Saccharomyces cerevisiae S288C: one gene and its partners. Changing the gene in region 2 together with the main gene of any one other region gives a genetic interaction. Each region holds a gene or a part of one and is shown on either strand. Other genes may lie near its edges. The genes, in order: YPL034W, SRY1 and CBP4.

Region 1 (2,816 bases), on a different chromosome or scaffold from region 2:
AAGTTCTGCTTGAGTAACATTTTTCCAAAGGTTCAAGCTGAAGCTCAAGAAAAAGCAAAGGGGTTCTATATTGTCAACATATCATCGGTATTGACGTTAAAACCGTGCAAATCAGGAACACATTTTATTACATCGAAATGTGGTATAAACTCTTTCCACGATGGAATAACCTCAGAGCTTAAATTGAAAGATAGTAATTTGAATGTAAAAACGCTGATTGCATATTTACCCAGTTTTGAAAGTGAAGCACATTGGAAGAGACTTTCCCCGAGTATCTCGAAACATCTCGTCCACTGTCTACTTGAGGGAAGATATGGTGATACAATTCTCGAAAGCAAAAGATCAATTGGTGATATTCTTTTGATAACTGGTTTCAAAAGCTCTTTTACTTAAGGGTACTACAAATCGAAGTAACAGTGATAAAATTGCTAAGCACATATATTTCTATAAATAATTCAAGGAAAAGAAAGGTAACACTACAATTTTTATGATGATAAATAATTTGAATAAACCGGCCAGAATAGGCCAAAAAATTTTTTTTAAGTCTAACGAGATTCTCCTCCAAGGCAATAAGAATCAATAAGTCTTAGTACTGATGGTAGCTCCAATACAGGCACATTGAACCACTCTGTATGCCTCTTTTTTCCAGTTGGATCACACCCATAACAGTAAACCAATCCTTTCCCGTATTTCTTCCATAAAAATTTATGAATAGCGCTTTCGATATCTGGTAGTTTCATTGAACCTTTTCCGCTAATGAAAAATCCACCATCTTTATAAGTGCGTAGGGTTGGCACCTTAGGATCTGGAAGGGAAGGCTTGTGTGAGTGACTTTTATCTTTGATGAAAAGTTTCTCCATTTTTTTTTGTAAGCTTGATAATGAAATGGGCAATAGCCTGTTTGAACTGATATTTTTGCTTTCACTTTTCAATTTCAAGTGGTATAATTTATCGACTTTCTCTGGAGTCAAGTTTATCACTGGATGCTTGCATGTGGTTTGCCATTCTAAAAGTCTTGAATCTACTGTTTTTCGAGTGGTCATTCCTATCTTACATAGAATAAAGTCTCTGTCTACCCATTGTCTCTTCTTTTTACCATTAGTCCGAACTATTGACTCATCAATAAATAGCCATTTTAAATCTACCGTCTTTTCAGATATGTATGATTCAAAGAGGTTACTGTATGTATAGATGTAAATAAAACCCGGTTTATTTTGCGCATTATCTCTTGGTGCCCGTGTGTACCTTGCATCTTGCCACTGATGATAATGACAGTACTTTTTATCCGACGGTATGTTTATCTTGCACCGCTCTCCCTTTTTTGTTATGCCTAAGACATCTCATAATAGATTTAGCTTTGATGAGCACTTTTCTGATATAGTCTTATCTATGATGGGAAACAATTCTTTATTTCTCTTGACATTTGATTTCTTATGGTGTTGGACTTCTCGCGGGAGAGGCGCACATACACGACTACATGATAATAACATTATTAGAAAAATATATCAACATAAAAGAAGAAACTGATATAATACGTGCAATGTGCTTGTATGTAAATAAGTGTGCATTATATGTTTATTAAAAATTAAGAATTAGATTGATTTAATGTTTCGAAAAAAAAAATATTTAGTCATTTCACCATGTTGGATGGGAATTCGTGTGTTGTTATTGGAATGATTCTTCCTTTTTGGAGAGGAAAATAGTCAAAAGAACACGAAATAATATGAAAAAAATTTTCCATATGAATTTGCATCCAATCAAGCAAAAGATCGGCCTACTTCTGATATGTGGATATGTTTGTTTGTGTGTGTGTGTGTGTGTGTGTGTGATAAAATTGACAGATATGATGCCACTTAGTCTAAAAACTTGTGTGTAAACTTTAAAACTGTAACATCATATCGAAGGTATCAAACAGAGCACAATTGAAGAGGCATTAATTTGATTTTTGTTGACCGTGTTCTTTTATAACGTCTTGGCTTCCTTGGTATCGACAAATTGAAATGAAAATGAGGAATAACAAAAAGGAGATCAATAAGAAAAAAAATCAGATGGATGATGTTTAAAATTACTAACTGCTTTTTTCGTGTTGAGTAGAAACTCTTTGCATAGCAGCCATGAAATCTTCGACACTTCTTGTAGACTTCTTTTCCTTTAATGACTTACCATTCATCAACCTATCAAAGGCTTGAGACGTGGACATAATATAGTAAAATCCTCCCAATACACAAAAAATACCAATGGACCAAATCCAGACACGAACGACTGACACAATATCAGTCCAGTTTTCAGACCACCAGCCAAATAAGGTAAACATGGTAGCAATAATATCAACGGCGAAAACGGCACCGGCTAACTGCCACGATGGAATGGAAGACCAGAATGGGCCAGCAGCTCTAGTGACAAAAATTAACCAATTTTCAGTTAGTGAAATCTGCAGGAACATGACACCATTCATGGCACCAAAATTTTGGATAATACCACCATTAGGCAAGAACATGGTGGTTAAAGTAATCCAAGAACCTATAGCTAAAACTATGCCCAAAATAATAGACATACCCCATAATCTTGGTAGGTTCCATTTCACAGGTTCAGGAGCATAAGGAGCATTGTCATAAGCAATAGTTAAAGTGGCAACGTCTGCGAAAATAGCAATAAAAACGATCAAATTGATATCCAAAGAGTTGTTTAAAATAGCAATCCATAAACCCAGGAAAATCTCCAAATGTAAGGATAGGGCAATACGATAAACAACATAGGAGTACATTCTGTGGAAAATCTGTCTAGAAGTCTTTAAGGCATCAATAATAGCAGAGAGA
Region 2 (3,218 bases):
TTCCTTAAAATAGAGGCTTATCCTTTCCTGTGGACCATAAATATCTTCATGCAAGATCTCGATTGATTAGTAATAAGAGCAGACGATATTGTGTGTGGAAAAGAGAATTTTTTCTGCGTATAAAATAGGACATTATGACAGTTACCTTTAATTGAAGTAGAGATATGTTTTTTCAACTTAGAAGCTATGTCTTTACTGGGTGTAAGCCTAGGAACGCTCTTCTGTTTTAGTTCAAAATATGCAAAAGAAACTAATATACCAGTAATGCTCATAGTCACAGTCAGAAGTTATATTATTAGTTTGACATAAGCAGTATTCTTCCCTCTCACACACTATCATTCTGCCAAAAAATTTTCCCACATAAGGGTGTCAGTTCAGTGAAATATAATACTAGTAGAAAAATATGTAGAGTTATCAGAGTATAAATCAGCTAGAGGCTTTTTTTGCTGAACTCACTTCAAAATCTCAACCATGTTATTAATGTTAAGTCAAATGATATATGCCGTGTGAAAGTAGACAACTAAAGCTTTCCAATTCTTCACTATAAAACTGAACTCAAAATTCAAAAGTATACACTAAATCGTTGGGCCATCTTCCTTCCCAGAGATTAAAGTAGCATATCTCTTCATGTCTACATTACCTCCACTTAGTATTATGCCTACTTTCTTCCCAACTAGCTCTTCCTTTTTTAGAAGTGCACCTGCAAATCCCAAACAAGCTGTGGGCTCAACAACCACCTTCATGCGTTCCGCAAGAAAGTGCATGCATTTTACTAGCTCTTGGTCGCTAACCGTTAAAATATCATCGACATTTTCGCGAATAATGGCAAATGTGTACTCACCGAGGTGTTGTGTTTGAGCGCCATCTGCGATAGTTTTTGGCGTATTGATATGAACAATGGAACCCGATCTGAAGGATTGTTGTCCATCGTTACCAGCTTCAGGTTCAACCCCAAAAATTTTGCAGCCTGGAGAAAGGCTTCTAGCGGCAAGTGCAGATCCTGAAAGGAGCCCACCACCGCCCAAAGGAACAAATAATGCATCAAGTTGTCCAACCTCTTCTAATAGCTCTTTTGCCGACGTACCTTGCCCTGCAATAACATCAGGATGATCGTAGGGCGGAATCAATGCAAAACCATGTTCGGCTGCTAGTTGACGCCCAATCTGCTCGCGATCTTCAGTATACCTGTTATACCTTATGATATGTGCTCCGTAACCGGCTGTAGCAGCAACTTTAAGGGCGGGCGCATCCTCGGGCATAACAATTGTTGCAGGTACATTTAATAGTTTTGCACTAAGAGCAATAGCCTGTGCATGGTTTCCTGATGAGAAGGCAATTACTCCCTTACTTCTTTTTTCATCACTTAATTTTGAAACAGCATTCATTGCTCCACGAAACTTGAACGCTCCCACTCGTTGGAAATTCTCACCTTTAAAGTATATTTGTGCTCCAAGTCGATCATTAAGCATTCGTGAAGTGAGAACCGGTGTTTTATTTACATATTCTTTAATTCTGTTGCTGGCATCCAAAACGTCTCCATAAGTGGGAACAATCATTTTTCCAACTCAATGAAAACTAAATATCTCGAACTATATTAATTATTTGTACTTTTTAAGTTTTTTTTCAATACTCCTTTATTTGAATTTTTGCAGAATGAAAATGTAACTCTTTATATTCCAAAGCTTATCTTTTTCTCACGTACCGTCCTATAGACCCTGATTTTATGATAAGAGGCTGAATTTACTAATTAGTCATTTTTTTCAGTTTTTTTGTCATAGAAGCCACATTTAAAAGAAGTCAGCCAAGTTACCTGTAAATATTAAAACAACCTGCTTAGAATGACTGTTAATTTACAGAATTTACGATAAAAATATAACTTGGCTCTAGGGCGTGATGATAGTGACAAAAAACTCGTCAAGTAAATGTTGGGAGCTTACTTGCCGTCGTTTTCTAACGCCAAAATACACGAATCATGTTTGGGAAATATAAGTGATTAGAACTTGTCCAAGGATATTGTCAAACAATAACATACTACAATAATCCTAGATCGTGTATTATTTGCGTATGGATAAATATACCTCAAGCTTTATGAGGCATAGAAAATTCATTAGAGTCACTACTTACGTCGCACTCTCGAGGATTGGAATGACGAAATCTTCTTCAGCATTTCACCATTCACCTTTTGAAGCTTCCTATCTCGTTGCTTAAGTAGAATGAAAGCATAGCAGCCCAAAAGAAAAGCCTCCCTCAGCAAGAATATTAACAAAGAACAATTCATGGACCGTTTCTACTACTTAATATCTCTATCACAACTGTCAGTCTCAATCAGTACTTAAATGACGCTGCAGAAAAAGATATCATTATTTTTATCATCCCCCTAATAAAATAAGTAATGAATCAATGCCATTAATTCGGGAACTAGTCATATACCTAAGGAATCAGGCTTTGATAGCTCTTTAATAATAATATTAGGGCATTTTTGATATGGTAAAAGATTAGATTAGGAAACCCCTTTTGTAGAGCATCTCACTACAATATCTGCAAAAACGGTCACCTTGCATAGGCAGAACACGCTACCTTTGAGTTAATTCACAGGGGAGAGCCCTTTTTTTTTCTTAGCAAAAGTGCTTAACAATCTTAATTTCTGGAATGTTTTCGGCGGATTGTTGTATATTGTTTGAATTTGTTCGTTCTAAAAAGTGAGACACCTGCACTTTCCACGCCAAGAACACTAATACCTTTAAACATGCCAGCGTACTTTAAAATGCCACGAGTCGCCCCGTACCAAACATGCTGGCGATTGTAATTTTTCGCCTTTTATTGGAATCGAGAATTCGGGCACTGTCCTTTTCTTCGTCATTTCAATGTTATAATCATTTTTATCGCCAAATTTTCTTCAATAAAAGGTCTCTTTTAAAATATGTTACTATGTTTTTTATTTTTCTATTATTTTTCTATGTGATTTTTCAGACGATTTATTCTTTGTTCGAAGGAGAACAGATGCAACGGTCAAGTTTTTACTATCCACATGAGGAGCCGTAATATTCTAAAGGCAAAAGCATGTGTGCTTGTAAAAAAAAATCAAAAAAAGTTACTGCTCCAAGCCAGCAAGCTTTCTCTTTTGCGAAATCTTTAACACGGTTAAAATCAAAGACAATTACTTCATTGACAAGGTCAATGCTAATATTTACGGTCTCCGCACGAAAGACTCTGAAAAA
Region 3 (3,151 bases), on a different chromosome or scaffold from region 2:
ACATGAAAATAAAACTCTGCCTTCCTTAGCTAACCTACTCTAACGTATAAGTATCTGAACAATTGGTTTAGATCCAAGATTCCGCGCTTCCACCATTTAGTATGATCCATATTTTATATAATATATAGGATAAGTAAGATCCCGTGAATCAAGCTGATAAACCGTTTTGACAACTGGTTACTTCCCTAAGACTGTTTATATTAGGATTGTCAAGAACCTTGACATTACCCCATTGCATGATGCAATAATCTCATATAAATAACAAGCGCAAGTGGTTTAGTGGTAAAATCCAACGTTGCCATCGTTGGGCCCCCGGTTCGATTCCGGGCTTGCGCAATGTTTTTTCCATCCCCAAGTATGGGAACTAAAATAGCTAAAAATAAGTATGAAGTTATATTTTTAAACCTATTTACAGTGTACAAATAAATAATATATCATAAATGACACAGACGTATGTTTTAGGATGCAAAAGTTCAAGCTGCCCTTCCTAATTGAGTGACCCGACCCATCTACCAGAAGCGCCACCAGCTTTTAACCTGCTTATCCTGGACTATTTCCTTTGTTTTCTCCTCCGTTTCAGATCTTAGCTGAGACAGTTCATTTCTGATCCTAGCCAACTCTTCTTTTTGCACCTCCTCCGCCCTCACCTTAGCAAAGTGATCTCTGCTTTGAACGTTATCACCGTTCCTTTCCCAAGGTGATTGAAGGGGGCCCGTCTTCCAAATTGGATCGTCACTTTGAGAAGTTTCCTTAACAATTTTCATCAAAGCCTGCTGCTCCGACTGACGTAGTTTTTTCTCCCTCTCATATTGTAAACGTAATTCTGGGGAAAGCTGGCTGATTAACTGTTGATCTGTTGGCGTTGTGTACTTGAAAAGCAGAAACCCGCTTCCAATAATAGCGCCACCAATTGCATAGACTTTCAACCAACGTACCCACAATGGTCTTTCCATACCCAAATAATGCTTATACTGTCTTTGTTTTGCTATTACTGCCTCTCTAGGAGTTATCGCGCACTGCATGTATATAAAATTTTATCTTGATAAAATACCCCGGGGGATGAGCAAAAAAAGGGATATGGGGAATGAAAAGTGAGATAAACTAGCAATAATCTATTCTAATAAGTAGAACATTCACAAAGACTACTATGGTGTAATTCTGAAAGGATTTACGAGAGCACAAATACTATTATGTATAATTCTGACTGCAGAATCCGGCAAGCTTGATTTAATATCACTTAAGGAAGTAATATCGTTAATTGATAACCGAATATGAATCTCAATGCATATTTTGAAGCATATCAAGCCATTTTTCCTTTTCTGTTGGAGGCATTTTTAAGGAAAGAACAAAAAGTATAAAACACTTCGGTTAATAATAAATGATATGTGAATTTTTTTGAAAATATGTAAAATAAATAAGTAATAAATAAAAATAAGATGTGTTTATCGTAATGTACTATACAAGCCTTCCAAGCCGACTTCTGTAATAAAAAAAAAAGGTGCAGCTTAATGTTTGACGGTTCCTATCCTCTCTCCCTTATAAGCTGTAGTTAACCAATCAACTCACCAAACAAAAATGGGGTGAATACTCTAATAGCTGTGATCAAAATCATAATACCTTCCAATAAAGCCATTGGTAATCCCAAGAAACCACGTTCTTCCATGTTCAAGTAAATGGTGTAAAAAGCGACAGCGAAGAAAACCCTGGTCAATTGCAAAGGCTTTGGCAAGACACCAGACAGAAATTCAACGGGTTTGTTGACACAATCGCCACCTCTTTGGAAATATTTGAAACAACCTTTTTGTAATGCCTTCAAGTTATCGCTGTCAGCAGCGAACAAAGAATACAAAGCCACTGACAAAACGTTAATAACGGAATCGTAACTCTTTCTTTCGAAATGGTAGTCTAGTAATTCATCCAAAACCTTTTCACGGTCGCTGAAGTCTAGGTCACCTATTTTCTTAATCAACAAGACAACATCATGCAAACCGACAGTCATACCACCACCAGTCAATGGATGTCTCATATTTAGAGCGTCACCGATAACACACATACCAGTGACGTCGTTTTGTCTAGCTGGCAAGTAGGAGTTTGGCATAGCTCTAAATTTACCTTGGCTGACGGCTTCATCAAATGAAGGACGTAGACTCTTTGGAATGAAAGGTTGGACATCCTTAATCATCCAACTCTTGATATCAGCTGGGACCTTTGGAGAGTTGTAAGCACAAAGGATTCTTGTTTCTTCTGGACTGATTTGGTAAACCAAGATTGGCATATGATCACTACCAAGAATAACGTGACCGTGCATAGGAGCAGGATTCTTAGCATTGAACAAAGACATACCGACAAACGAAGAACCGACAGTTGGAACATGGTCTGGGTGCAATTCCTTTCTGAAACGTGAAAAGATACCGTCACAGATAAATGTCAAGTGGGCTTTGAATTCCACCTTGCCACGGCCATCAATGTCAACCTTGGCACCAACAACCTCATTCTTTTCATCCTTCAATATCTCAATACAGTTACCTTGCACTCTAGTAACATTTGGCTCTTGAGCAGTAATGTTTCTCAAGTTGTTCAAGAATCTACCATGAACAAAAGCAACACCCCTTTCTCTTTCATCATCTTCGTAATCCTTGATGTGAATAGTGCTGTCTTCCAAGACCTTGTCATTACCATCTTTGACCAAGTCCTTCAATTTTTCAACTTTAGGGATATCGGCCTTGTAAGGGTATGGAATATCAACTTGTTCGCCGTTGAAAAAGACGGTATAACCGGTAACAGGATATGCTTCGATGTTGTTGATAGATTGAATCATACCCAGACTTCTCAATGCTCTAACACCACCTGGTTGCATCAATTCACCAACAATTCTATCAGGCATAGCCCAGTCACGTTCTACGATAAGAACTTTCTTACCCTTTCTTGCTAGACCAGTAGCAACACATGGACCGATAACACCAGCACCGATGACAATCGCATCGTAGGTAATTGTGTTGTCGGCATTAATCAATTCAGGTGCAACGTTAACAGCAGACATGACCCTTTTCTCGATATGTTTTTCTGTGATTTTTTTTTTTCAATTGTTCGAAATAACCTGTATTGTTCAATACTGGACAATTGTTCTGATATATATATATATATATAATTT

The links.
Region 1: mutations in SRY1 (region 2) and YPL034W together harm fitness more than expected from each alone (negative genetic interaction), as found in Saccharomyces cerevisiae (2 studies listed by BioGRID).
Region 3: mutations in SRY1 (region 2) and CBP4 together harm fitness more than expected from each alone (negative genetic interaction), as found in Saccharomyces cerevisiae (2 studies listed by BioGRID).

Annotation. Positions count from the first base shown.
Region 1 is NC_001148.4:484,939-487,754, reverse strand, and holds YPL034W (uncharacterized protein), read right to left. Parts: upstream 1,044-2,816; coding exon 546-1,043; downstream 1-545. Other genes in the region: SRL4 (Srl4p), read left to right, coding at 1-393; H(+)-exporting P2-type ATPase PMA2, read right to left, coding at 2,069-2,816.
Region 2 is NC_001143.9:16,784-20,001, forward strand, and holds SRY1 (threo-3-hydroxy-L-aspartate ammonia-lyase SRY1), read right to left. Parts: upstream 1,557-3,218; coding exon 576-1,556; downstream 1-575. UniProt on the Saccharomyces cerevisiae protein: Catalyzes the deamination of L-threo-3-hydroxyaspartate to oxaloacetate and ammonia. Shows a high specificity towards L-threo-3-hydroxyaspartate as other 3-hydroxyaminoacids, i.e.
Region 3 is NC_001139.9:845,384-848,534, forward strand, and holds CBP4 (Cbp4p), read right to left. Parts: upstream 1,023-3,151; coding exon 510-1,022; downstream 1-509. Other genes in the region: YGR174W-A (uncharacterized protein), read left to right, coding at 1,272-1,358; ERG1 (squalene monooxygenase), read right to left, coding at 1,550-3,040.